Canis lupus familiaris: one gene and its partner. Each later gene encodes a partner of the first gene's protein in a complex. Links are inferred from orthologs where the notes say so. Each region holds a gene or a part of one and is shown on either strand. Other genes may lie near its edges. The genes, in order: ACTR3 and ARPC5.

Region 1 (14,903 bases):
AAATAGAACAATTATAACAATACACTGTAATAAAAGTTATGTAATGTCTCTCTCTCAAGATATCTTATTGTCTTGTGATGATGTGGTGTGATAAAAATGCCTACGCGGTGAGATGAAGTGGGTGAATGACACAGGTGTTCTGATGTAGTGTTAGGCTACCACTGACCTTTGAAACTACCTTAGGAGCTTCATCTGCTTGCAGACTATGGCTGTCCCTGGGTAACTGAAACTACAGAAAGCAAAACCACAGAAAAGGGGGGGAGTAAGAAATATATAGTGATGAGTCCTAATAATATATAGGGGAAGCCATTTTAACTTTCTAACTCAGCGTGATAATACATAAACTTCATTCAAACCCAAAGCCTGATTTATGGCCACCATGCATCCATTGTATATCTGCTTTGTGAATGAGTAGCCTAACAGAAAACCATCTTGTCCTTGAGATATCCATCAGTGCTCCCACTAGGTGCATTCCTTTATGATAAAATTTGTGATTCTTACCTATACGCGAATCTATAATCTGTTGAGCTTTTACAAGATGTGAAAAGTATTTAACTCTGTTAAAAATTGTTCATTCTCCCAGGCACTGTCTTCCCTGTGAAGATCGTGTTTCCTGGGCAGCTATCCTAACTTGGGCTTGAATTAAGCTCTCTTTCTTACTTTTAGAGATTCCAAAAGGTTTGCTCATTTTGTGTTAACCATAGGGCCTTCCTCCTCTCTTATTCGCTCCTTTTTTTTTTTTTTTTTGTATTTTTCCAAATATTAGATCACACTACAAATCAAAGGTCACAAACTGGTGGCCTACAGTCTAGATACAGCAAAGAAAATATTTTGTTTGCAGAACATTGGGGAAAATTTAATATGAAAAACTGAAAGATCTGGCTCTACATGCCTACGTGGCAAAAATATTACTGATACTTTCCAATTTAACATGGTCCTCTCCATTCCCTATTATGTATACTTTCACTAGTCTGCTTTTCTGTATCACCCACTAATCACCCATAAGCATTTGAGTTTATATCCTTCTGATATTACTACCAGTTTCTTAGTAGCAACTTGCGTTTTGTATTTAACATTATTACATGGCATTATCAATCAGAATTAGATGCAGCTGGATACAACTAAAAATACCAAATTACGGTGGCTTAACCACTAAGGACTTATTTTTCTTTTATGAAAAATAAGTCTGAAGGTGGGTGGTCAAGGGCTAATATGGCACTTCAGGGTCATATGGGACCTGAGTTCCTTCCATTTTTTTCTGCTCCATTTTCCTTAGGACATGGCTTCTAGTATCAACATCAGTGAATCATTCATAGTGGCTGAAGAGCTCCTAAAGCTTAAGGTACTTTATTCATGTTGTATTTTATCCCAGAAGAAAAGTGGAGGGAAAAAGATTGGTATTCTGAGTAAGCCTTTTTTAAAGACATTTTCTAGAAACTCCACTTAACTACTTCTACTTATATCTCACTGGCATAACTTAATAGCACTGCCACAACCAGCTGCAAATGAGATTGAGAATGTAGTCTTTTTGGGGGAGGGAGGCACATAGGCACCTGAGTAAAATCCGGGTGTTGTTACTAAGGAGAAAACATAAATATCAATCTCAGGTACATTTCCCTGTAGGTTATTACTGACATATGGGAGAGATTGTGAGTTCCTCTCAAGACCCAAGTTCCCCTTCTACTGAGTTAAAAGAAACCTGAGGGCAGCCTGGGCGGCTCAGTGGTTTTTGCACCGCCTTCAGCCCAAGGTATGATCCTGGAGACCCGGGATCGAGTCCTGCATACAGCCTGCTTCTCCCTCTGCCTCTCTCTCTGTGTCTCTCATGAATAAATAAATAAAATCTTAAAAAAAAATAAAAGAAACCTCAGATATACCTGATCACAGAGGCACTTGAAGAATGTATTTCTAGGTCTTTTAAAAGAATTCTTCATGGGATCCCTGGGTGGCGCAGTGGTTTAGCGCCTGCCTTTGGCCCAGGGCGCGATCCTGGAGACCCGGGATCGAATCCCACGTCAGGCTCCCGGTGCATGGAGCCTGCTTCTCCCTCTGCCTGTGTCTCTGCCTCTCTTTCTCTCTCTCTGTGACTATCATAAATAAATAAAAATTAAAAAAAAAAAAAAAAAAAAAAAAAAAAAAAAAAAAAAAAGAATTCTTCATGATCATAATCTTCTCTCCCTCCTCTTACAGTATTTTTTTTTTTTTTTAGGATTCACCAAAATGCGATTCCTAAGACTAATGTGTACAAATACATAGAAATAAATAAAGTGATATTGATGGCTAACTTCATAGGAGGTGTGGCAATTCACATTCTCAGGAATAGTGTATAATGGATGTACGTTTTTCTATACATTTATCAGCACTGGATATTCTTTTCTCATTTTTAAAGAAGATTTTATTTATTTATTTATTTGAGGGAGAGAGAATGCACATGCCTGAGTGCATGTATGATGAGGGGCAGAGGGAGAAGCGGACTTCCACTAAGCAAGGAGCCTGCCTTGATTCCCAGACTCTGAGATCATGACCTGAGCTGAAGGCAGCTACTTAACTGACTGAACCACCCAGGAGCCCCTTTCTTCTCATTTTAGATGTTGTGAATGATGGGTTAAAAATGGTATCATTGTTTAATTTGTATTTCCCTTACTATCAGCAATGAAGAGCCTCTTTTTCTGTGCCATGTGTCCATTTTAATTGTCCTACTCCTCTGTAGGGACCTTGTGTTAATAGCCTTTCCCAATGTTTCTGTTGGATTATTTGCACTTTTTAAAAAAATTTTTTATTTGCACTTTTTAAAATTGTCTTTAACTCTTAGAATATTAACCTTTGTTATATGTAATGTAAATATTTTCTTCTAATCTATAATTTCTAGACAAACCTTTAGCCAATGAAAATCCAATTGTTTATGTAACCAAATATTTCAATTAATGGTTATGGATCTCTACTTAAGGAGTTCTCCCCCACTTTAAGATTATACAAATATTTTCCTGAATTTTATTCTAATATATTCTGTCTTTTTTTTGTTATTCAACTCATTAATTCCATTTATATTTGTTGTGCACTTATTATGAGCTGAGTCCTTTTCAAATTCTAGTGGGCATGTTTTTCCCATTGGAGAGATAGATAATAAGCAAATAAACCAATATATAAACAAGGCATTTCACTAGGAAATTAAAACATGGTAACATGGGGGAATGGGCCAGGCTCCCTTGGAATAGGTGGTCAGGAAAGGCTGTCCTGAGCAAGTGAGATTTAAATTGATTCTGAAATAACTAATGATTAGAGGGGAAGTCCAGGGAGAAGATGCAGGTAGAAATGGCCTTGGTGTGTATGAAGAAGTCCAAGAAGGCTGAAGTGGCTAACTCATGAGGGACAGGAGAAATTGGAAAGAGAGGCAGGCACCAGAATACAATGGGCTTAGCAAACCCCAGTGAGGAATATGGATTTTACTCTATATTAAAGATTTGTAGTCCATTTGGAACTTGGTTTGTGTGTAATACGGTATGTGTGTGTAGGGGGTGGCCAAGGGATTCTAACCCACATCTTCTTTCAAATTAATTTATATTTTAAATAAATTGTTCACTTTTTGCAGTAGTGAGGGAGACAGGATAGTGAAAAATCCCACAGAATCTCACCTCATTTCAAACACTGTACAGATATTATTACCATATGAAATATATTTTCATTTGAAATTAAACATATAATAACTATAACATTTATTTTTATCCTAGGGATGTGGCCAATGAGTAAAATCTTTCCAGAACTTCTTTTTAGAAGTTCATGGGCAGCAGCAGGTGATAAATCACTTATGAAAACCAGTATTATTATTTTATAGTCACACAAAGCTGTTCACTAAAAACCATAGCTCTAGTTGTTCAGCCATCTTATTCTTTGGACTTGGTGCTGAAAAAAATGACTTTTGACCAATTCCAAAAATCAATCTACTCACAAAAGGCCAAGATTTGCTACCAATGGAGATATTTAAAAGAACGTGCCATGGGTTCTGAAGGCAAGTCTATAGGAGATCTTCTAAAAATATTCTGCACAGTGGTAGCATTAAGCCCCAAGACTTCTGTGATAAGGAGGACACAGTTTTGGATATTTAAATCTGTATGTTTATTTAATAAGTAAAAGAGTCATTGCTTTATAATTAAACCACAGTCATCTTGATCTGTCCATAAGATCATTCTATAATTTATAATATGTTTTCTTAAAATTCAAGCTTTACAACAACCCCATAGGTTAGTTATTTCTGCAAATTTAGATTAAAATAGATTAAGGAATTCACACTCAAGTCTCTTTTTTAAAAAAAGATTTTATTTATATATTTGAGAGAGAGAGAGAGTGCGTACACGCTCAAGTGCATAAGCAAGAGGGGCAGAGTGAGAGGGAGAGAGAATCTCAAGCAGTGTTGAGCGCTGAGCCTGATGTGGGGCTTAAACTCATGACCCTGAGATCATGACCTGAGCCAAAACCAAGAGTCAGATGTTTAACCAACTGAACTACCCAGGTGTTCCCCGCCCCCCCTCAAGTCTCTTGATTCTACGTTCAGGTCTCACTCTACACACTAAGTTAGTTGACTAAGTTAACTAACTTAGTTAACTTGCTGCCTGGAGTAGGGCCTCTGACCACTGGGCTGCATGGATATCTTGACTATTTATCTATTATTTGTCCTTAATACTCTCTGTGGATTTGATTTGATTGGTCCGCTAATTTGCAAATAGTTATTGCAGCAAGTACTTATGTTGATTTAAAAATAATAATAACATTTGCCATTTTAAAATATTGGAGATTGAGTGATATGTGAATTTTTTGGACATTTAAGGTCTAGAGACATTTGCTACATTGGCCTTAAAGCACAAATATTCTAGGAAACCTCATAGTAGCTGGTAGCTAGTATATCAGTCAAAATTAAACAACGCTGTGGTGTTACAACTAATGAGCCCAGAAAAGAGCTGGGCTTTGGTCTGGGTCCTGTTTCCTATTTTCTCTAAGATACTAGGAAAGTCACTTACATTCTCTGGGCTTGTTTATTACTTAGTATTCTTAAATTTGATGTAAGTAATGAAAGCTAATTACCACCAATTTAACCAAAAAGGGGCTTTCATGGAAGGATATTACAAGACTCACAAATGCTTGAAATGTTGGGGACCAGGCTTAGAAAGTGACTCGCACCGGTTGATCTGAACTAAAAGGAAATCAGGGTGCTATTAGGTGAGAATGGGTATGGGGAAAACTCCACCCACGCACCACTGCTTTCCTTTTTCATGTCTAACAAGATCATTTCTGTGAGCTCTTTGAGCTCTGACCTCCTCTGCTTCTCTGTATTTGGAGGAGGAAGGGTGCCTATGCAAAGTGGTCAGACATGCTCTGGCTGGACTTGCATCTGAGGGCTGGGTGCCGCTGAGGAAGGCTGAACCGCAGCAGCGCTAGAGTTTGACCAATTTTGGCACTAGCAAGTAGGAAGTAGGAGGGGTGTTAAGCAAGCAAAGTGTTTGGGTGGACAAATTATGAGGCACCAGTGCAAATAATGCTTCCAACGAGAGTTAGAAGCTTCCAAAGATTTCTAAGGGTCACCTCCTTTATAAAAGGCTGACTTGACTACTTGAAAGAGACCACTGTAGAAGGTCTCCTCATGTGGATGAGATACAGTATCTAGCGCTGACATGAGCTGCATATTTGAATGCAACATACATATAAATGTTAACCAGCTTCCCAAATCAAAAGTTGAAAACTGGTTTCCCACAGGTCAGAAAGAGCCTGCAGAGAATTAGTTACCAACAGATAAAAATCCAGATTTTCCATTTTTTCTGGAACAAAGGGACGCTCTGGCAATACTGAGTCTACATCTCTGCATAGTAAGTTTTCTACTGCCTTTGGTGTGGATGTGGAGTCTCCCTATTGTCACACCTCGTCATGGTCCTCTTCAGTCATAATGGCACCTGCTTGGATCGTGTGAATGCTCCAGTTTTCGAGCCTTGATGTAACTGTTTCTGTGACAACCCACACAAGGCCTGTGTGTGAGCACCCATCTTGAGGATCCACCAGTGTGGGTTTCCCTGAGCGACCTCTGTTCTTGGGACCCCTTTGGTAAGAACCTTTCACTCCTGACTTACTACCGTTAATGCTGAAAAAAACTGTTTACCCCAACTGACCCACATGTCTCTGTTCTGTCACAGCAGATCTTCAGGCATCTATTCTCCCAAATGACCTTAAATATCTGATGTTGGAAAAGGCAGCAAAGAATCCCCATTTAGGATCTTCTAAAATGGGGGGAAGAAAAGACAACTATGCATCTGAACAGAGAACCATTTCTGCTGGACTCCTTGGAAGACAATTGCTGAGAAAAGCTTCCCTGGAGGATTATTTATCTATTTTCTAGGAGTAGCTGTGGATTGCTGGGCACTAGTTGGTCATGATGATTCCCCTACGTTGGTCTTCTGCACATGTCTGATCCCATCTGGGTGTTACTGCTCACATAATTCTATCCCTGAATTATAGCACACAATGTATTATCAGACCTTTCACTTCACTCTTTACTTTGTGGGGTCCATTCCCTACAAAGCAGCCACGTTTCCTTGCTTAAATCTCTTTGATGCCTTCCAGGCTGCTTTTAGGCTAAACTTTAAGATTGGTGGAGAAGTCTGCAAATCCTTGTGGTGTGATTCTTCCTTAACTCCCGGCCTCCACCTCCCATTGCATTTTCCTTAGCTCACTTCACTTGGACCGTTTAGGTCTTTGAATTTGTGAAAGAGGCCAAGCTCTTTGCCACCTCAGGCCCTTGACCCTTGCTGTTCCCCCTTCTGGACGGCTCCCCTTCCTCCTCACCCTTTCCCCTATCTTCTACTTCACCTTTAAAATGTCACTTTGTCGAGAAGCCTTCCCTATATTCTACTTCCCTCACATTCTCCCACCCTCATCTCTGTATCTTGTAGCCTGTTGCTCTCTTCTAATGCTTTTAACACAATTTATATGTTCCCATTAAACTGTGAACTCTTGAGAGCAGGGACCTTCTGTATTTTGTGCCCAAAGACTATTCAGAGGCAGCAGGATCCCTGCCATAATGGAGGATGTGAGCGATACTTAACATGTCAAACGGATGAAAAACCCACTTTCCATCCCACTGCCCAGTCTAACAACTTACCATTGTGCATAAGACATCCTTTCTTAGGGAAAATATTTTTATTTCAGCCATATAAGCAAATGGAAGATTTATCAGAAGACAAGCCTGGTGGAAAGCTGTTAAACTTCTAGGTTCCCCAGGTGGGGTCCCAGACCATCACCTGAGAACGTCTTGGAAATGCAAGTTACCAGGCCCTTCTCCTACACAAAAACTCTGCGGATGCGGCCCAGCAATCAAGGTTTTTTTTTGTGTGTTTTGTTTTTAGCAATCAAGGTTTTAACGAGCATTCTCGGTAATTCTGATGCACACTTAAATTTGAAAACCATTGTTCTAGGCTGTCCAGTATGTGACCTTTTTCCCCCTTATTATTATCATTATTTTCGCTCCTTGATCATCGGCATAATCCTGCCGGCAAAACAGCAGAATCTTAAACTGCTGAGGGCATCTTTGTCATCATTCGAAAGCGGCGAATAACCGACTATCCGCGCAGAGTGCGTGATGTGGAAGGTGCTCCCGGGGGGGGTGTGTTCCTCGCGGGGACAGGCCTGCCCCCGGGCGTCTGCGACCCAGACAATGTCCCCACGCACAGGTGCAAAAGCCTAGAAACCGGCAGGAAGGCGGAGCAGCCGGCTGCAAGCCTTTGTTCGCCCCAACCCTCCCGACCGCTCGCCCTCCGTCTGCCCGCGCGCTCCTCCACCCAGAAAAGCAGCGTCTCCAAGCGACGAGAATGTGTCGTGCCGCTCAGGACGTTTTCTACTGGGCCAGTCTTCCCCGGGGCCCCGGAGAAGACGCGGGGGGCTGCGGGGGGCTGCGGGGGCAGGCGCCGGGCGGCGAGCGCAGGAGGCACGGACGCCGCGGCGCTCCCGCAGCTCCAGGAGCCCCGGGCGCTCGCCCCGCCCCGCCCCGCCCCTCCCGTCCGGGAAAGCCCGGAGCGGACTCCGCTCACGTCGGGACGGGCGCCGCGGCCGGCGGGGCCACGTCACTGCGCATGCTCCCTCGCCCCTCCCGCTCGGAGCCGGAAGGGGGAGCGCGGGCGGCCTGGGCCTGGCCTGGCCGGGGCGGCGGCGCCGGCGGCCATCTTGGCTTCCCGGGGCCAGGCGGCGCGGGGGGAAGAAGTTGTAGGGTGGGGGCCGGAGGGAGGAGGAGGGGAGAGAGAGGGGGAGGAGGCCGCGGCGGGGCAGGGCGGGGACTGCCTGCCCGCCCGGGTTGCGGAAGTGGTAGCCGCTGGCCGAGCCTGCTGCTTGCTCGCTGCTGCCTCGGCTTCCCGGCTCCCCCCGGACGGAGAGGCCGGCCCGGCTGTGGATGGTCAGATAGCTCCGGCCCCAATCCGCACGGAGCAGACGGCGGCGGCGGCGGCGGCGGCGGCAGGCGAGGAGGAAGATGGCGGGACGGCTGCCGGCCTGTGTGGTGGACTGTGGCACGGGGTAAGGAGGGTGGGGAAACTGAGGCGGAGCTGGGAAGATGGCGGCGAGGGTGCGGGCGCGGGGATGCGCCGCGGCGGGGTGCGGCCGCCGGGCGTCGGGCTGCCGGGGGTGGGGCGCGGGGCCGGGGCCGCGGTGCGGCCGGGCGTCACCCGCGGGGGCGGGGGCGGGGGCGGGGGTCCCGGCGGGGTCCCCCCGGAGGTGCCCCCGGAGCCGCGGGCGGGTGGGCGCTGCGGGGCCCGGCGCTCAGCCTCCGGCCCCTCGGCTCCTCCTGCTGCCGGCGCGCCGGGGCCGAGCGGACGGGCGGGGGACGCCGGGCGGGTGCTCCGGGTCGCGGGGACCCCGCGCGGCTCGGGCCGAGGGCGGGGAAGGGGGCGCCCGGGCGCCGAACCTGCGAGCCGGGGCCGCGGCTTCCACCGGGCGGGCCGCGCGCCCCTCGTCCGACCCCCGGGCTTCCCCGCCTCCTGCGCTCGCACCGGTGAGCCACGGGCACATTTTAATTTGAGAGAGAAGGATGTCATGTGTTAACTCGTCTTGCCTCGGACAGAAAAAAAAAAAAAAAAAAAAAAGGAAAAAAAAAAAAAGTCCCCTAGTGAGCAAGCGCGCCGCAACTTCCTTAGTTTTCTCAAAGCCGCTTCCTGCTTTCAGCCCTTTATACCCTTATAAGGTAGTTTTTCATTTCCAACCTGAACACCTCGTATTAGAACTTTTAGGATTGAGCATATTTGAAATGGATTGAATTACGGGCCCTCGACATCAGTTTGTAGGGACTTGAACACAGACGTGCGAGTGTTTTCCGGGAAGGGGGGGAGAAGGGAAGCCCCAGGAAAGTCCTTGAGGCCGCGCGCTCGCCGGGGGGGGGTGGGGGGGGTGGGGGGGCCTCGGAGGCTGTGGGGCCGCGGGGTGCGCTTGCTTTTCGGGGGGTTCCAGTGCGCAGGGTCGCGTGTAGACGTGTAGAACGGCGTTGAAGTGTATGAATAGGCGTTTTGGGATTTTGGCACACTGTTGTTTTCATAGGAAATAGTCTGTACTTTAACGTGGAACGACTTGTTTCCCTTGCAGCGCTGGGAGGGTGTGTGTGTCCGTCCTGTGCTGATACATTGTTTCATTCCTAATTCGCAAAATAATACACCGAGGGGGAGTCGGTTATGAGAGGTAGAGTGTCAGCCCTTGCTCCCTGCCTTCTATCATCCAGCAGACCTTCGTTGCATCAAGGATTGTGTATGCCCCTCTTTCCATTTACTCCCCGTAAAACGGCTCTATTTTTTTTTTTAAAGCTCTAATCTTCATACTCACGACTTTGTTAGTGTAACAGTTTCAAAAATCCCAGCCATGCATGTGGAAACAGCCGATTTATTAACATTCTCCTATTCTCCTTTGGAAAATACCAGCCTACTTTTAGCCGTGGAACTTCTAAATGTATTGTTTTGATGGACAGCTTATTAAAGTTATTGTTTTTTTATTTTTATTTTTTGTATATATATATTTTTTTTATTGTTTTTTTTAATCCTAATTTTCTTGACTCAGGTCCCCCCCCCCCCCCCCCCCCCCCCCCCCCGATCCAGTTGAGGAGTAGTTTCATGCTTAGGGTCAGTTTTAAAATTAGATTTGTCCTGAGTGAGAAGGAATTTTCAAGTGTGGGGTGTTTTGTTTTGTTTTTTTAGATTTTATTTATTTATTCATAAGAGATACACAGAGAGGCAGAGACACAGGCAGAGGGAGAAGCATGCTCCATGCAGGGAGCCCGACGTGGGACTCTATCTGGGACCCCAGGATCACGCCCTGCGCTGAAGGCAGGCGCTCAACCACTGAGCCACCCAGGTGTCCCTCAAGTGTGTTTTGTTAAAGTGAGAAATACTGTTATATAATTAATATTTTATGCTTTAGAAATTATTGGGTTAATAAAATTAGTGTGGATAATTGTAGTGCTAATGGTAACTAGAATGTTACTTTTCCCCCATTTTTCCCCTTTTGAAATAAATTCTGGTTATTTTTGAGTTAGTATTCGGGTATTAATCATTGAGGTTGACTGTCCTTAGCTGACCTCCTCCTGCTAGGGCAACCCTGAATTTAAGACAGGCTGAGTGTCCGGGAGGTCCCCAAGGGCTTCAGTCTACATTTAGGATTATTTTTGTTTTAGTATTTCAATTATTACGTTACTATATTTTACCTTATTGCATTAGTTTTACTTCACAAGGTGAGGTGGTTTAATGGGCACTCATGGTTTAAATGGAACTGATTAGGAGTCCCCATTGTCTCCCACCTTTTTTACCATCTGTCAGAGCTCCATTTATTTTGGTCTTCTAAAGGTTTCATGGTCCTTTGTGGTGGCTATCTAATGCAACTCCTGGAAAGTTATACCTGCAGCTTTATTAGCACATAGAGGATGGCTCATTGAGCTTGGGCCTGCGATAAGCATATTTAAGTAAGGCCTTCATGGGAGTTTTATGTTTCAGAGTACTGTGGTCCCCAGATGCAAATTGTTCACCTATAATTTGTGTGTTCCTTTGTGCTTTAGAGAATGCATTCATCTATTTGGTCTGTAATTACAATTACCCACTTAATATAAATGAAGAGTTATAACCTGAATCTGGATGATCATTCCATTTCATTATATAAGTTAGGAAAAAGATGACAGGAAAAAGTGGCCGGCTATGAAACTTGGTGTTCTCCCACAAGAAAAGCTGTAAGCCTTAGGAAACATGAAGCTTAATCCCCAGGCTTAAAGTTAGAAATCCTGCAGCAAAGATCCTTTATCTCAACATAAGATAATCACCTAAGCTCAGATCGTATAAGAAAATAACTCCTTTTGATAAGAATTTAGAAATAACTGTTTTTTTTTTTCGCATTGATATCATATCTACACACTTTTTGTCTGCATTGGAACAGTACTGTAGAAAAAAATTTGGGTAGAGATTCTCATTGTAGAGCTAGCTGGTTGCTTAAGAACTAAATTACAGACCTCCAATCTGCTACCTTGGTGAGGGAAACTTTTTTTTTTTTTTTTTAAAGCATTCTTATAACATTGTAACACTTGGAAAGTTTTAGAAGATCCTAAATTATTTTTCGCATATTTTCACTCATTTCTTCAACGTTCAAATGAAGGAACTAACTCCTTACACACTTTTTTTTTTTTTTTTTTTAATGCCTCAGCTTGATTACAGAACTTTACATTGTGACATTTCCTTTTCCCCTTTATGTCTTTTCTACCTGATCCGTTCTGCTTTGGTAAATTATTTCCATTATGATAGCAGAAGTTAATATGACCTTATTGTAGAGCTGTGTGTTGGTGTCTAGATATACTCAGATTTAGAGTGAATTTCCGTAACTGACTCAAGTTTCTTAGCGTAATTTTAAAATGTAAGCATAAGTATTTTGTTGGAGTCAGTGGATGAGGAGTTTATATAATTCATACTGTGGCCACATTCTAGCAATTAGTGCAGATAATTTGGGAACCAATCTTCCCTGAGAACCAATGAGGAAGAACTGAGTGTGTGTGGGGGGGAAATAAGTGGGAAGTTCATATTTCCTATATGAATTCTGTACATGATATTTGATAATAACACTATTTCTCCAAGCCATCTTCAAGAGCAGAAACATTCACAGTATCTTGTTATTACCAAAAAACACTGAAATTCTTATTCCTTCATGGGTCATGTTTTACATGCTGTGTGAAGTAAGTATAACAGTCTTCTGTTGAGAAGTCAGTTTCTTACTTAAATACAATCTTCCTCCTCTCCTCTCCCACTGGTCTCTTTCCCTGCATGCACATCTTGTGTTGAAATACTGACTTTGGGTTGTGTGTGTGTGTGTGTGTGTGTGTGTGTATATAGTATCTAATGAACTTTCAGCCTAATTGTAAAACACAGTTCAGAAATTTATTTTTAAGCACAGAATGGAAAGCTCCACTAGTGGAGGGCCTGCTGACCAGGATTTTATGTATGTTACTTAGTTTTGTGACAGTCATTTTTACCTTATTTTACAAGTGAGGAAACAGGATTAGAGAAACACTTTTTTTAATGGTGATAAGAGTTGCTATTTGGACTTAAGCTTTTCTGTGTCGAAGCCCTGTGTTCTTTATAATACACTGTGGAAACTCCTGAGCCCCTTATCAGAACTATGCATGTTGCTTTTTATTAGCAAAGTTAATTCTCTTCTTAAAATATTATAAATCCTAGTCTTAAGCATTTGATTTAATGAATTAGAGAAATGATTCCTGTGCATATCTTTTTTACGTGATATGTATCTATATATATCAAGTATATATGTATGTGTCCGTGTGTGTGCGTGCGTGTGTGTGTGTGTGTATTTAGTGGATATGTGAATTCCTAGCTTATTTCCTTGTCAATTTGCTTAAATTGAACTTCTAGAAAAAATTTACTCTCTATGTTTTGTTTATCAGGAAATGCTAAAAGCTAATATTTATTAAGAATTACGTTCAGGCCCAGTGCTATATGCTTTATATTATCTCATTTACTTTTCACATCAGCCTGAGAATTACCTCTTTTATGAACAGAAAAGTTTAGGGTTTAGAGAAATTAAACTACTTGCCCAAGATATTGTAGCAAATAAATGTGTTAGAGACCCTCCTCTATAAAATAATCTCCTTACACAGAGGATGAGCCTTTGACAGTTTTGAATCATTTAGATTTTTTTTTTTGAGAGATAGTTCATTTATGTTGTAAAGGGAGAATGCAGTATTAGTGAATATTACTTAACGATTACTTGCAAAGGTAGAAAAGTAGGTATTACTTGCTGATTACTTGCCAAGTCAGCTTAAAGCTAACTATATACTTAGCAGGTTAGACGCGCTCAGAATTATAATGAAAATATGTAATACAATATGCTCTCGAGAATCTTATCTCTTAATGAGATAAGAGCTAAAAATTATTTTTAAAAATTAGGATGGTAAGATTCTGCACTTAAATCTTAAGATACTTTTTTTTTTTTTTAAGATTTTATTTGTTTATTTGACTGAGAGGGAGAGAGCACACAAGCAGGGGGATCAGGAGAGGGAGAAGGAGTTTACCTGCTGAGGGAGCCTAAGGCAGATGCCTGACTGAGCCACTCAGGCACCCCAAAATATTTACTTTTGTGGTAGTAATAGTTGTTCTGTAGATAGTAAGATTAATGTGGTCAGGAAGAGTCAAGGAAGTTGTAGTGAAGGTAGGATATGTGCTCTCCTTTTAAGGATTTGGATATACAGGGGAAGGAAAGCATATACAGCAGAAAGGGGAGAGTAGCTGTTTCTTGTGTTTAGCCCTATTAGCATATGTTGCACCACTTCCTTCCCTTTGAATTGAGGACCACATAATAACATAATGCAAATCTTGATTATGTAATGTGAAGGGGAACTAACATTTATTGTGCACTTTCTGTATCAGGTATTCATTGTGTGTCGGCAGAGCTTTGATTCAAAATATTTTACTTGATAAGAAATAAAAATCCTTTGCAAGAGGAGTTAAATGTTGTCAGGGCTTTTAGAATATTTGCAGAATGGAATGCAGTTGGATCAGATGTAGAGAAGGTATTTGGGATGAAGTTATGGGGCTTGACACATGATATGAACTCACGTCTTTGTTGAATGAGCTGGCAAATGAAGATGGAACAAGAGTTAGGGGTATGGCTTAAAAAAACTGCCTGGGAAACACCCCATACCCAGTGACTCAGAATCTGAAGGATTGGGCCTAGGAATATTCATTTAAATGGTCTTCCTAGATGATTTTTAAACAGCCGTCTCAGCATCAGCTTTGCAGAAATTCTGAAGTAGGATATTGGCAGTAGGAATAGAGCAGAAGAGATATATTTGGGAAAGGTTGCCTCTTTTTTGTTTGTACTTCTGCAGTAGTATTGTTTTATTTGTGGTTATAGCTGTTTTTGTGTTCAGGCTTTTCTAGCTGTATGACTTTGTACACTTCAAACTCTGCAGGTCACATTTTTCCCATGTGTAATTTGGGATCATAGTATCTACCTTATGGGTGGGATTTTTTTTTTTTGTTTGTTTGTTTGGTTTTTGAGATAATGCATGAAAATGGTTAGTCACAGTGGTTGACACATAGTAAGAACTTGATACATCATAGTTATAATTACCATTATCAGTTAGCTCTCTTTTATTGAATTGAAATTTTTTAAGGAAAGGAACACGGTGTCTTATGCTTATTCAGTGCTTGGCTTAATGCAGTTCTTTGCACAGTCCAAATGTTTTTGCTTATTTGAGAGATGGAGGTATAGCTAGGGCTTGACAATTGATTGGGGTGGATTGTAGTCATCAGTGAAGATTTTAAGATTTTGAGTTTGGTTTTAAGAAGCTAAGTAAAATAATTATTTGAATTTGTTATTGAATTTGGATGATGATCATAATT
Region 2 (14,954 bases), on another chromosome or scaffold:
TATTCTCTTTGTTTTACCTAGGAACCTCATCCCAAATATAAATCCTGAGATTACCTTTCCTTGATGTCTCTGACTCTCAGGAATGTTCCAAATCAGAGACCCAAGGCAACGGAATATTGTTTTATTACTCTATTTAGTGAATTAAGTGGAATTGGTGCCTTACAAAATTAAAAAAGTAGATGATCCAGCAATTCTGAGTATATAACCAAAAGAATTAAAAGTGGGGTCTCAGATCTTTGTATACCCATATTCATAGCAGCATTATTCATAATGGCCATAAGTAATCCAAGTATTATTCAAGTATTCATCAATAGATGAATGGATAAAGAGAATGTGGAAACATTCCACATTTTAGTGTACATAAAATGGAACACTATTCATCATTAAAAAGGAGCAATACCCTGACACTTGCTACAGTTGTGGAAAGGAAATCAAACTAAGTGAAATAAACATCACAAAAAAAAAAAAAAATCAAGTACTGTATGAATTCACTAATATGAGGTACATAGAATTGTCAAATTTATAGAGCAGAAAGTAAAAAATTTATAGATGATAGAAAGCCCCTGCTCATCAGGGGCTGGGGAGAGTGGGGAATGGGGAGTTACTGTTTAAGGGGTATGGAGTCTCAGTTCTGCAAGATAAAAAAAGGTCTGGATATGGATAGTAGTGATGATTGTACAATACTACTTAAGGGTACTCTTAAAAATGGTTGACAGTAAATTGCATGCTATGTGTATTTTGCCACAATTTAAAAAAAATTAAGTGGGATTATCCATCAACACCTACTGATCTCTTCATATACTTCATATACATATATCTCTTCATATACATATACATATACTTAAAAAAAAGTGACATCCTTTGTGATAGACCAAATATTAGGTAACAGGCCCTATGTCTAGTCTCAAAATACTAAGATAAAATGAGGAAAGCTCACAAGTATCTGGAAAACAAACATCTTTTAAAAAATCATTACAGCGGCACCTGGGTGGCTCAGTGGTTGAGCGTCTGACTTTGGCTCAGGTCATGATCACAGGGTCCTGGGATCGAGTTCCACATTGGACTCCCCACGGGGAGCCTGCTTCTCCCTCTGCCTCTGTGTCTCTGCCTCTGTGTCTCTCATGAATAAATAAACAAAATCTTTACCAAAAACCATCATTACAATAACAAGATCTTTTAAGTTCACAGTTTAGAGTTCATTTTAAGCTATTGAAAAGCTATGTGTGGGTTTATTTGGACCCTGATAGTTATATCGTTATTTTTAGCACCAAGGTGAGCAGTACAGTTGGGAATAATGAGAAAGAGGTACTGAAAGCAGAGAGTGGTGATTAAAAGCAAAAGCTTTGGAATGTGACACACCTAATTACCATACCAGTCTGCCACTTGCTGGTGGAGTATTATTGGCTGAGTTACATAATCTCTCTTAGTCTTAGTTTCCTCATCCATAAAATGGACACATTAATTCCTAAGCCCTAAAGCTACTCTGAGGATTAAATAATGTAAATAAAGAGATTGCTTACCAGGTCTAACATAAAACCATTCATGGGGCAGTTGCAATTATTAATAAAATATTGATAGAATTAGAATAGACAGTAGAAAAAATAGGAATTGCAGGATCTTTCCAATTTTACCAAAACTATAAATTTTATCTTCTAGAAGAAGGAAAGATGTATTACTAGCATTTGTAATAATCAGGTTAGGGGGAGAAAAAAGTTTGGTTTTAATATTTTGCTTAAAGCAACAAGGGAAGTAATAAGTCCATGGTCATGAAAGATATTAAAATAATTGTAAGAAAATATTTTGTGCAATTTTTTGCCAATACATTGGCAATCTAGATGGAATGCACAATTATTAAATGTAAATTATAAAATTGAGTCAAAAAGGAAAGAAAACTAGTCAAAAACCACAGAAGATAAAGATGATCAAAGATCTAACTCTAAAAACATGAACAAGTCCAGATAATTCTGCAAGCACATTTTGTAACATGCAAAGAAAAAATAGCTTAGTAATTCCCTACTATTCAAACTTTTCCAGAGCATAGAAAAGAAGGTGGAAATATTCTCAATTCATCTTACAAAGCTATACTAATATCAAAATTGAATAGAGATGGCACAAATATATACTATGCGCCAATCTCACTTATACATATTGATTCTGAAATCATGTAAACAAAACAGAAACTAATTGAATCTATCAAGTAATTAAAATAGTAACCAGAATCTATTTTAGAAATATGAGAATAGTTCAGTGCTATATATATATATATAATTCATACATTTACAAATTAAAAGATAAAAAATAACACATTTTTTATCATTAGACCCCTCAAAAAAACATTTGACAATTTCAGCAGTCATTCCTAAATATCCTAAAACAATAGGAAATATAAACTGGTAAAATACCAACACTATTTCCATTAAAATAGAAACAAGAGATGCTTATTATCACCCAGTTTTTCAACACTGATTTGAAAGTCCAATTAATGCAATAAGATAAAAAAATAAAAGTGATATAAATTTTAGAAAAGAAAATGTAAGTTATCATTATCTTAAACATTATGATTGTATACTATGACAAAAAATATAACCTTAAACCAACTGTTAGCATAATAAGAGATCCCAGTAATGGGAAAGAAAGAGAATAAACAAATGTTTGAATCCATAGCTTCTCTTAACACTATCATAAGCAGGTAAAAAAAAATAAATAAGAGTCTCATTCAAAACAATATTTAAAAACAAGGTTTAGGGATCCCTGGGTGGCGCAGCGGTTTGGCGCCTGCCTTTGGCCCAGGGCGCGATCCTGGAGACCCGGGATCGAATCCCACGTCGGGCTCCCGGTGCATGGAGCCTGCTTCTCCCTCTGCCTGTGTCTCTGCCTCTCTCTCTCTCTCTCTCTCTGTGACTATCATAAATAAAATTAAAAAAAAAATTAAAAAAAAATAATAATAAATAAAAACAAGGTTTATTGTTTCATTTAGCACTAAACACTTTTCCTGAGACAAGAGTACAGATTTAAAAATTTTTAATCTTAGAAGGACTAGTATGTAAATAAAGGTCCCATTGTAAAATAGTTCACCCTTTCTACCCTACCTTAGTGTGTACTCATAAAGTTATATAAAGCTAAAATAAATCACAAAGCAAAAACTGAAGGTGTGGAAGGTTGTTGGTGTCAACACAGAACCAGTTAATCAGTTCATTTGGATATTATCTATAAGCATTAGACCATACTATAGTCTAGGTAACATGATAAAAAAAACTTTTTATATTGTAGTAATTATGTTGCTAGAAGACAGTGGTATTACATCATCATGACTAGAACTGAAATTTACTTATTAATTTTATATTTATAACTCATGTTTGATACATTTGATTAACACTGGGCTCACTTCCATTTCATTGCTGTGGGACTCAATGTCTTCGTTGAGTATTTAGTGGCAAGGCTGGGGAAAAGAAGCACATGGTAGGTAGAGTACTCAGCTTAAAATATCTGAAAGGAAAGATCTATTATAAAACGGTTTTATCAAAATCCCTTCTAATTAAAAAGATCTTTTACTCTTTGCATTATCACAGATAATAAAAAGGAGCTACACTCTATCATGCAGCACTAACCTTGAGAAAATTGAGATCTAGTCATTAGTATTCAGCCAAACCAAGTTATTTGCACAATAAATAAAATGTCTTAAAACGTTACGGATCCTTTATTTTAGGGATAAACACTCATTTGAAAAATTAAAATATGGAGAGTAATAGTATCTAAAATGAATTAAGTACTATGATTAACATTAAAAATTGTCATTTGCAAAATAAGTAAAAGATAATTAAAGACAGATTTCTTCACACACACACATACACACACACATTCCCTAAAGCTTTATAGATTTAACTGTTAGCTGATTGGGGTAGGGAGGAAATTAAAGTGTCCATTAAGAAATACCCAATCTCTAAATATGATTGCAAAATTGTCAGATTATTCATTGGGTAGAAATGTGTTTCATACCTACTATGTACTAGGTACTTAGCATCGTGAGATGATAAAAAATACCGCATTGGAAAAGGACCTTTTCGACATTATTACATCTTAAATGTATTATGCAACTGAGAATTGATTAATTATATTTAACATATTCAACATATACAGCAAAATTCTGAGTAATCAAATCAATTATACCCTTGAGCAACTCGATTTTTTAAATTCCTCTCACTATTCCCTTAAGTTGATTTCTACCCCAGGATTCTTTCCCAGTTCTAAAATAAGACAATAAAGACACCGTCTAAATAAAACCTAATACAAAAGAAGAGAAATGTAAGAGAAGGGATACATTAGTCTTAAATTCTTGTTTCTGTTTGTTCTCAGTAGCACTTCTCTAATGTTCAATTTTCCCTTCAAAGAAAATCTTGATTTATAAGAAGGGAAAAGTGCAATCGTCTTCAACATCAAAACAAGTACACTGTTTGGCTCTTACTAAAGTTAGCAAAAGATTGAGACTGAGGAAGAAATATTAAAACAAATCTTATATTCTAAGTTATATAATGCCACTTACCATAGTAATGGTCTGATACTTTGGTATATGACTTTTTAAAATAAATATTACCAACAGGTAGAAAATTTTCCTTTGCTCTGTTAAAACAGTATGGGGGAGAGTTTTTATCATGTGTTTGCAGATAACTTGAATGTTAATTTAAAGAAATGTCACTTCTATCACCTAAATGATAAATTTTCCAGAAGGGTGGTTTAATTGGGAGGAGAAAAATGCCATATTGCTTCTTCCTTCCAAGAAGAAAGGGTGCATTCCATTCCTGTGAACTCTTTCAGTCTCTCTCCATATATTTATACATGTATATATATCCACATACATACATATACAACTATGTATATATGTCAGTGTAGATACAGCTATACATATATACATATGTATGCATATCTGTCCCACAAATGTTTGATTTTGAGATCTCTCTTCCTTTTCTTACTGATTCATTATGTTCAGTGTGACTTTCAAACTGTACTGCCTTTCACATTTTATTCATTCATCAATGAATAATTGAGTACCAGAATGTATTGAGCACTGCCTGCATGCTTAGCATTACATCAGATGTAAAGCAAGATACAAAATAAATAAAAGGCAAGTCTTTGCCCTCCAGAATCTTTTGATCTCTTCCAGGAGCAAGATAAAACATGATATGTCATTAAGTAATTCGTAAGACTAACGCCAAAATCAATGGTACAAGTAACATGCATTTTGCATCTATGTAGAATTTTAGAGCTTCAGAACACTTTCCCGTACTTAGTCCTCAGAACAATCTCGCGAAGTACGTTATTATTAGCTCCACTTTAGCAACGAGGAACCTGAAATTGAGGATTTTAAGTGGCATGCCTCAATCAAATAGATTATGAGTGGAAGTCAATACTTCAGCCAGGGTTTTTGATTCTAAGTCCAGGGCTCGTTTCAATACAGCACAGGAAACCAAGGATTGGGGTATCAACAGGGCAACAGCTGGCTTTCTGCTAGAGGTGGAATTGAACGAGACCTGAGAGGATGTCAGGAAAACATAAAGCTATCTGAGCAGCGTCCAGCTAAATGTCCAAAATAATTTTATTCTGCAAATATTTGTGCTTCGGTGTTACACACACAGCACAACTACCATTTCTTTAGTGTTAGTGCCTTTGCCTCCTCAGTAAGGGCTTTGCTCTCAGAAACGAGGATGTCCAATGTAATAAAAAGCTGGCCTAGCAGGATCATATAAATCTCAAATCACAAATATAAATCTTCATCTCAAACCTACTAATCCTCACACGTTTTGTTTCCCCACAGCACCGGAGGGCATAGCTCGCCCCTATCCTTTTCTTCCGTGCTTGCTCCAAACCACCACTTATTTTTAAGATGCCGGTGACTGACCCTACCCCAAATTCCACAGGTCCGCCCCAGGTCTGCCACGCGAGCCCTTGCCCAGAACCTCCGTCTCCCTCCCCAAGGAGATGATACCTAGTTCAGGCTCTGCAGGTGCCGTCGGGATGCTGTCACACAGCACAGCCAGATAAGAGACGACCTTTCGACTCCGTCCTTGGGGACTTCCCGCTGGCCGCGCGGCGTAGCTCCAGCCCCGGGAAAGGGGCTCCCGGCTCAGGAACGCAGCCACGGGCAGCGCACGGTCCCAAGTGATGCCTCTGACAACTAGACCGACGCTGGGCGCCCGGGCGCGCATCACTCCGCCCCATACTCCTGCCAACTGCAGGGGACTCGGTCCGGCCACCAGTCCATCCCACCCCACAGGCAAGTCCGGGCCAGCCGGACCTCACGCAGGACCCCGGCGACAGGTCGCTGGCGGCGGCGGCGGCGGCGGCGGCGGCAGCAGGAGCCACCCGCCCCCAGAGCCCATAGCCGCCAGCCTAAGACCCCCGCCGCCCCCCTTCCGCGGGACCGCAGAGAAGCGTTGCTATGGAAACCCCCTGGGGATCACGTGACGCCCGCGGACGGCCAATCGCCTCTCACCTCTGCCCGCGGCGCCGCTTTCGGCCCGCCCCCGGCCCCGCCCCCGCCCGCCCCCGCCTCCCTCGCCCCGCCCCGCCCCCTTCCTGCCGCGAGCCCGCGCCTGCGCACTGCGCCCGGCGCGCCGTCCCTCGCGCGCGCGCCCGGGAGGAGCGGGGGCGGCGTGGGCGGCGGGCGGAGAGCATGTCGCCGAGGAGGAAGGAGCGCCGCCAGCGCGCAGGCCCAGAAGCGTCCGAGCCGCGGCTGCCGGCGACGCCCCAGAGCGGAAGAGGGAAGTGAAGGCGCCCGGGCTGCGGGTTCCTGGTGGGCTGCGCTTCCCGAGGGCGAGGCAGCACCGAGAGGAGGCTTAGGCCGCCGGTCCGGCTCGCGATGTCGAAGAACACGGTGTCGTCGGCCCGGTTCCGGAAGGTGGACGTGGATGAGTACGACGAGAACAAGTTCGTGGACGAGGAGGACGGGGGCGACGGGCAGGCCGGGCCCGACGAAGGCGAGGTGGACTCCTGCCTGCGGCAATATCCTTGGCGTTTGCCGGCCTCCCCGCGCTCCCGCCCCGCCCCGCCCCGGGACCCCGCGACCCCGCCCGGGGACCCCGCCCGCCGGGCCGCTCCCGGGGCAGGGGCGGCGGCTCTGGCCCTGCGGGGTCCGCCGGACGGGCGGCCGGGGGCGCTCCCGCGTCTAGCCGAGTCACCCCGGGTCACCCCGGGTCACCCCGGAGCCCGCCCCCGCCCCGACTCCTCAGGTGGCGGCCCGAGTCGCTGCCCCGGGAAGCGGCGGGGCGGCCGCGCCCTCGGGGCTCGGAGGGGAGGCCTCGGCTGCTGTCCGCCGGCCCCGGGGGGAGGGGCAGGGGCCCGGGCCCGAGGTCACGGAGGTCCCCCCGCCCCTCCGGAGGTGTGCGATTGCGGGGAGCGGGCTGCCTGCGTCGTGGTGCTGGCGGTTCGCTCTTCGGCCGCGTTAGGAGAGTTCATTCCTCGCGGGGAGGCATGGGGCGGTGTGCACGGTCGAGGCCCCCTGGCCTTTTTAGCCCCTGGGCCCTTTTAATAATTATAGTTATTTACAGAGAAAGGAATTTGTTGCAGATACGAATGTGTTAGCCCCGGGGAAACGGAGTGAGTACGAAACGGCCAGCTCCCGACAAGGAAGCTTGGAGGCTTCTACCTGCGAAGCAAGGGGACAATGCACAGGGATGGCAGGTGGAGAATCCCTGGAAATATTTAAGATAAGCCCCAGTGAATAAAGTAGATGATGAGCAAAATAGACGATGAGTCATTTTGCGCAAAGCAGCATCATTTTTTATTTTTTTTATTTTTTATTTTTTGCAATCCTGAAATCCATTTCCATTTCAGTTAAAATGCGGCTGTCAGTTCCTGGGGTTTTTGGTGTTGTTTTTTTTTTTTTTTTTTTTTTGCATATTTGAATATTCATCAGTGTTGAGCGAGTATTTGGCACCACATCTCTTTTAGAAAAATGTAAATGTTGCAACAGCTAAAGCTGTAGTTCTAGAGATTCTCAATTACTGAATTCACTCACTTCTAATTATTCTTGAATGTATTCATAAGATAGGGAAGACTTTTTAAACCTCTCCTCATCAATGTTCTATTAAAGTATAATGGGGAAATAGGAGTGAAAATATTGGTTGTGACTATATCTAGTCTTAAAGGCACCTAAAATACAGCATTAAACATTTACCAACATACAGATGTTTCTTTGATTTCCACAACTCTCACAGTCAGCTGTTGCTCTGTTGCATTATTTAAATACGTAAGTGCTTTAAGGTCTTAAAAATGAGCCAGTCTGCCAAAGGAAGCTTTTCTAGAAGTTTGTTAAGCCTTGGAAATAACAGCTTACCACCAGCCATAGGGGGTTTTTGTTTTGGGGTGTTTTGGTTTTGTTTTGTTCTTTTTTTTCCAAACATAAGCAATGAACATTATTCTGTCTGAAAACATTCTTTGTAATGGATAAATGACGTTTTGTGAACTAACTTTAGGTTGATGGGTGCTGACTCTCAACTGGTACGGCTGGATCCATAAAATGGATCTGCTTTCTAATCTCTTTATCTTAAAAGATATTGTCTCTTCTCTTGTTGCAACCAGAAGAGACCAGCTCTAGTCAGGCACTACAGATGGAGGAACAAATGAACTCTGTGGTTTTCCTTTTAGGGGAATGACTGTATATTCTGACAGTCTGATTGGCCTTCCGTGTCTCATACTTGCTAACTCACTGGTGCTTTCAAAGACTAAATTTAATAGGTATGACCTAAAACAGTGTCAATGACCTTTTTGGAAGTATAAGAGAAAATATGCAAAACAGAAAAATTAAGCTACAGCCTAAAGGACATTGAATTATTAGATCTTTTGTTAATATTGAGAGGTTACTAATGTGTATCATGTAGAGTGCTGGAATAATTACCAGCATTTTCTACAAGTATTTCAATTAAGATAGAATATAATTCTAGCAAAAGTTTGGTCCATATTTTTCCAGTTAAGAATCACATAAAAAGACATTTTGGTTGAGGGTATGCTGTTTCATTTGGGGACCTAATAATTCTAATACGTAGATATGTAATTTAAAATATACGTATCACTCTGAATAATGTTTCATATGTGTCTTACTGGAAAATAAAAGGCTCTCGAAGTGTTCATTTAGTAATTAGAGCCAGGCCGGAACTGGTCTTTGCCTTATTACCTCCTCTTATGTTCTCTGTGTTTTACATGTGATTGACATCCTTGAAACCAACATACTGAGTTTTCCAATATTGAACATAGCGATCGTGGTAATTTTTCTTTCTACGTATAAAGTCAAGTCTTAAGAACCAATGATACCTGGTAGTTCCGATGTTTTTCTGAAGGCTCCCCTTTGCTGCTATCCCCTTAACCTCCATCACAGGAAACATGACAGCCGCCCTACAGGCAGCTCTGAAAAATCCCCCTATCAACACCAAGAGTCAGGCCGTGAAGGTGAGTCAGACGCTGGTGTCTTAGCATTCTTTCCAAAATCCTCTGAAGTATCATGGAATCAACAAATAGTTTAACTGTTTATTGTCTTTGACATACAGGAGCTTACTCTGTGTAGTTTGTTAGGTAAAAATTTACATATGAAAATAATCTCACTCTAATACTGAGTTATGAGAGACCATTTCAGTGTGTTTAATGGAGGCACTCGAGGAATTGGAGCATAGGCCTGAAGAATAAACAATACTTTTACAAAATAAATAGATTCTATTTGGTTGCTTTTTAAAAATTTTTCTAAATTATCCAAGTATTAAATGTTTATAGAAAACTCAGAGAGAGGCAAAAAGGGGTAATCGTCATCATCCCACTGCCCAGAGATCATCGGTCTTTACTTTCTGGTGTTATATGCTTACAGAGCTTGTCTCTTAGTAGTTGTTTTTTAAATAAAAAGGGAGTTTTGTAATTGGCTTTTTTAATGATATACATGGACATCTTTCCTTGGCAGTAAGTTTATTTCTATAAGCACCTTTTTTAATGGCTGCATATAGATATGCTGCAGTTTACATATAACTAATCTTTTGTCATGTATTTAGATTATTGACCTTTTGTTGTTGTAAACAGTACGGAAATGAACAATTTTGAGTAAACTGTTAATTATTTCCTTTGAATAAATTCCTAGAAGCGAATTGCCGGGTTTTAGAATGCCATTTTTTAAGGCTTTTGTTACAAGTGGCATTGCCAAATTGCCCTTCAGAAAAACATGACTTAACGTTCCCTGCAACAGTCTTTCCGGAAATACTTGAGAACTTACTTACTAATTGTATAAAATGAAGCCCAGAGCTCTGACCCCATTGTCTGTAGGAGCCCTAAGGATCTCTTTAATTTGAGTACTAGTAATAACTTAGGTAAATGCATAATAATTATCTAGGCAACAATGAGAGGAAACATTTCTTTGGTTTTTGAAAGTGGTGAGGGACGTCATTGAGATTTCAATTTTACCACCTTCTGCTTTTATATGGGTGAGTTTTTATCACAGTTTGTGGGTGGGAAGTTATAGCTGTGGTTGTAAGAATATTTTTCTAAATTGGGTAATTGCTTAGTCTTTAAACTGAAGACAGCAATAGGTGGTAGAAACATTCTGTAAACTCCTGATCAGTAGGAATGCCAAAGATAATCACTCTTTCTTGAATAGGAGAAGTGAAATTGTTGAAAGGGTAAATTAAGTGTTCTTAATTAAGTGCTTGGCTTCTTGAGTGGAAAAATAACTTTGCTCTTGGAGCAGCCTTTTATCAGAAAAAAAAATTATAAATGAATATCACTATATCTACCTACTGTAGACAGGAAACTTAAATTTTCTTAAAAAGTTATTTTTATTAACTATTATTGAAGGATGGTTCAAGGTAGAACTGCAATTCATTGTCTTTGTCTTTGGGGTTTTCTCTGAGGTCAAGAAGTAAAATTTAAATGCCGACTTAATAAAGTTGGAAAATTACCATATCTCTTTGTAAGCAGATGCTTTCAGCTCTCCTTCAAACATGTCAAGAATCTGTCGTTCTCCTGAGCTACCATGCTAGCCCAAACCAGCCTATGTTATTGCAGTAACTTCCAGACTGGTCTCCCAGCCTTGTCCCCTGCCCCTCACCAACTTCCCATCAGCTCATCCTCAACATGGCAGCCAGAGTCAGATTATATCACTGTTATCTCATACACAGGTCAGATTCTATCACTGTTCTCAATATCTTCCAACATCTTCTCCTTTCTCTTAATGAAAGCCACAGTCTTCACAGCGGCCTGCGAGGGCTTACGTGGTCTGTCTTCGGCTACCTCCTGACCTGTCCTACTCCTCCACCATGTCGCTGGCTACCAGGGATCTTTCTGCTTTCCTTGAACACCCTGAACATACAGTGACAGCACATGTTCTTTCCTTCTTTCCTCTGAATACTTTTCTCAAATACCCCTAAGGATTCTTCTTTCATGTCCATCAGGTCTTTTTTTTTTTTTTTTTAAGGATTTTATTTATTGATTCATGAGAGACACAGAGAAAGGGAGAGGCAGATACACAGGCAGAGGGAGAAGCAGGCTCCACACAGGAGCCTGATGTGGGACTCGAACCCGGATCCCCAGGATCACACCCTGGGCTGATGGCTGAGCCACCTGGGCTGCACCATGTCCATCAGGTCTTAAGTGTCACCTTTTCCAGAACAACCACTCTACGTGCTTACGTGTGAATGCTCTGTTCTCTGTGTCCCCAGGATCGAGCGGGCAGTATTGTCTTGAAGGTGCTCATCTCTTTTAAAGCTAATGATATCGAGAAGGCAGTTCAGTCCCTGGACAAAAATGGTGTGGATCTCCTCATGAAATATATTTATAAAGGCTTCGAGAGCCCCTCTGACAACAGCAGTGCTGTGTTACTGCAATGGCATGAAAAGGTAAGTTACGACCTAGAGTCCCTCCAACTGGCCACTTATTGATAGAAAGTAACCATGACTGCTCTTCTCACCTAAATCATTATTTTGACTACATCATTTTCTTTACAAATAAATGCATGAAAACGAAAGCTTAGATTTATGTTTCCTAACCCTAGTCTTAAGAGATTTTGGTTTGCAACACATATTTATTCAGTAACGATTACTGTTCATTCAACATGATCTTGAACTTGGAACTAAATCCGAACTTTGAAAATAAGATAAACAATAAAAGTAAAAAATTCGTTGACCATGGCCAGAAGGTTAGAAACACACATGTGCCCAAGGACGGATGAATAGATAATCCTTTTTTTTTTTAAGATTTATTTATTTATTCGTGAGAGACACAGAGAGACACAGGCAGAGGGAGAAGCAGGCTCCATGCAGGGAGCCGGACATGGGACTCGATCCCAGGACTCCGGGATCACGCCCTGGGCAGAAGGCAGGCACTTAACTGCTGAGCCACCCAGGGATCCCCCAGATACTCCATTTTATGCATACACTACATTTTGTTTTTTTGAACAACAGAAAGAAGGAAATTACATACATGGCACAGCACGAATGAACCTTGAAAACGTTGTGCAAGGTGAAGTAAGCCTGTTGCAGAAAGACAAATTACGGTGTGATTCCACTTACAGGAAATACCTCGAAGAGGCAAATTCAGAGAGAGAGAGAGAGAAGATGAGAGGTTATCAGGGACTGGGGGAAGGGAGGATAGAGAGTTCTTACTTAATGGGGACAGTGTTTCTTTTTAGGGTGATGAAAATTATTGGAAACAGTGGTGACTATAATCCTGAGAATATAATGAGTGCCACTGAATTTTACCCTGAAAGATGGTTAAAGGAGCAAATTTCATGCTCTGTATGTTACAGGATTTAAAGAAAAGAAATCAGAGGTGGGGTAAGATCAAGAGTTCTTCAATGTTTTTCTGTTTTCATGCATTTGATTCTGCAGTGTGAGCAGATGGTGGTACACTGTCCCTCAAAAAATAGCTAAGGGAAATTTTTAGCGTTAGGTAAAAAGTTGGTAAGGTCATTTTTAATACCCAACTCTTGGGTAATATGGGTACAGATGTGAACAGTGTAACATTTAAATAGAACCAACCACAGGGAAGGGGTATATTCTAATATCTCTCAGTTCCCAACTCTCAGTCTTTAGAAGCTGTTGTCCGTGTATCTGAGTGAAAACACAAATGGAAGATGAGAATAGGCTGTAGAACTTGTCTTAATCAAGTCACTTGATCACTCATGCACTGTCAAAGAGAGCCTAACTTTTAGGGACAGGGTAACCAGACCTCCCTATTTTCCCAAGATGGCTCCAGTTTATGCCTGTTGTCCCAACATGATTATGAATAGTTCACTTTCACTCAGTGTACCAGTTGGAGAATAATGTATATGGTCATCCTATTCAGGAATACTTTGCGTTTGCCAGACACTGTACCATTAGATGATGTTTCATTTAAGCCTTAGAACAACTTTAGGAGGCATATAAGCATCTTTATCACCCTCAATTTAGAGATGAAGAGCCAGCTTAACAACCTAAGCATCCTGGTTCCTGTACAGTCCCAGGATCATAGCAGACACTGATGGAGCACTTACTGTATTCCAAGCATTCTCCTAATCACTTCATAAATAACTCCTTTAATCTTCATAAAAATAGTAGGAGGGAAAGCTTGCTATCATTCCTTTTTTGGTGGATGGGGAAACTGAGGCACACATCAAGTCTTCATTGCTTCCTAACATCATCACCAATTTTTGCCTGTCTGTCTGCTAAATACTTCTCCAGCCACACGCTTAGATACCCCTCTGATGCAGCTCTTTGCAGCATCTCCCCCAGATTTTTGCTGTAACTTCCTACACAGGCCTCCAGCCACCAGCTCTGCTTCTCTCGAATCTGTTCTCCACCCGGTCGCCAAATGCCCTCTCTGAAATCCAGATCTACCCTTTCAGTCACCTGCAGAGTAAAGCTCAAGTTCCAAAGTCTAGCCACTCCTCTTTTATGCCGTTCATCCCCCTTGCTCCAGCAGTGAGCAGCATAATAGTATGTTTTCCCAGGACACACCTTACTGTTTCACACCTCTGTACCTTTGCTCAGGATTTCCTCCCTGCCTGAGTACCTCCTTACCCCAGGGCACACCTCTGTCATTTCGTACATTATGTTATATTAACATAATCTCTCTTTTATGTTCTGTCCCTTCCTAGTAGACCAGAAGGTGCTATATCCCTAGCATCTAGCACAGTACTCGGTACACAAAAGTATTCAGTAAGTAAGCTAGAGCTTTCAGCTCCTGACACTTGATCATGACTTCCAGTCTTTCAAGGTAGTGTCAAAATTAAAGTTCCTAAGTTCTTAGCTATTAAATGATACACTTTTAGCTTGGAGGAATAAAAAGAATCTAACAAGCTGGCTGATCTAAATGGGACTTAGGGTAGTTGATACCAGTTTGAACTTTTTCCCTGACAGTGTTAAAAGAGCAAAGTGGGTATGCCTGGGTGGCTCAGCGGTTTAGTGCCTGCCTTCGGCCCAGGGCATGATCCTGGAGTCCCAGGATTGAGTCCCACATTAGGCTTCCTGCGTGGAGCCTGCTTCTCCCTCTGCCTATGTCTCTGCCTCTCTCTCTCCCTCCCTCTCTCTCTCTCTCTCTCTCTCTCACGAATAAATAAATAAAATCTTTTAAAAAATAAAAGAGCAAAGTGAATGTCCTAAATTTACATTTGAGCACATGTTTTCAGCAAGAACATGCTGTAAATCTTGAAGAACATCCTATTATGTGGGGGAAAAAAATTATAGAATGTAAACTAGTATCTCACGAGCATGTAGGTACACGAGGGCAGGGACTGTGAAGGTTTTATCAATCACTGGCTCTGCAGTGCTGGGTGCGTAATTGGTGTTCAAGAACGTTTATGAAAATTAATGAAGCCGAAGTTGATAGCCGCACACATTCCTTCTGTAAGAAAAAAAGTCTTACTTGGGTATGATAATTAGCCCTTTATAATTCCATCAGCGTTTACATTTTGGTTTGTTTTTAGGCACTTGCTGCAGGAGGAGTAGGCTCCA

Evidence for each region.
Region 2: ACTR3 (region 1) and ARPC5 share a complex: the UniProt entries of both Homo sapiens proteins name them as parts of the arp2/3 complex. The link is inferred for Canis lupus familiaris from reciprocal best matches to the Homo sapiens genes ACTR3 and ARPC5.

Annotation. Positions count from the first base shown.
Region 1 is NC_049240.1:36,612,742-36,627,644, reverse strand, and holds the start of ACTR3 (actin-related protein 3), read left to right. Parts: upstream 1-8,175; 5' UTR 8,176-8,500; coding exon 8,501-8,544; intron 8,545-14,903. UniProt on the Homo sapiens protein: ATP-binding component of the Arp2/3 complex, a multiprotein complex that mediates actin polymerization upon stimulation by nucleation-promoting factor (NPF).
Region 2 is NC_049228.1:16,858,365-16,873,318, reverse strand, and holds the start of ARPC5 (actin-related protein 2/3 complex subunit 5), read left to right. Parts: upstream 1-6,676; 5' UTR 6,677-6,853; coding exon 6,854-6,996; intron 6,997-9,365; coding exon 9,366-9,438; intron 9,439-11,684; coding exon 11,685-11,861; intron 11,862-14,926; coding exon 14,927-14,954. UniProt on the Homo sapiens protein: Component of the Arp2/3 complex, a multiprotein complex that mediates actin polymerization upon stimulation by nucleation-promoting factor (NPF).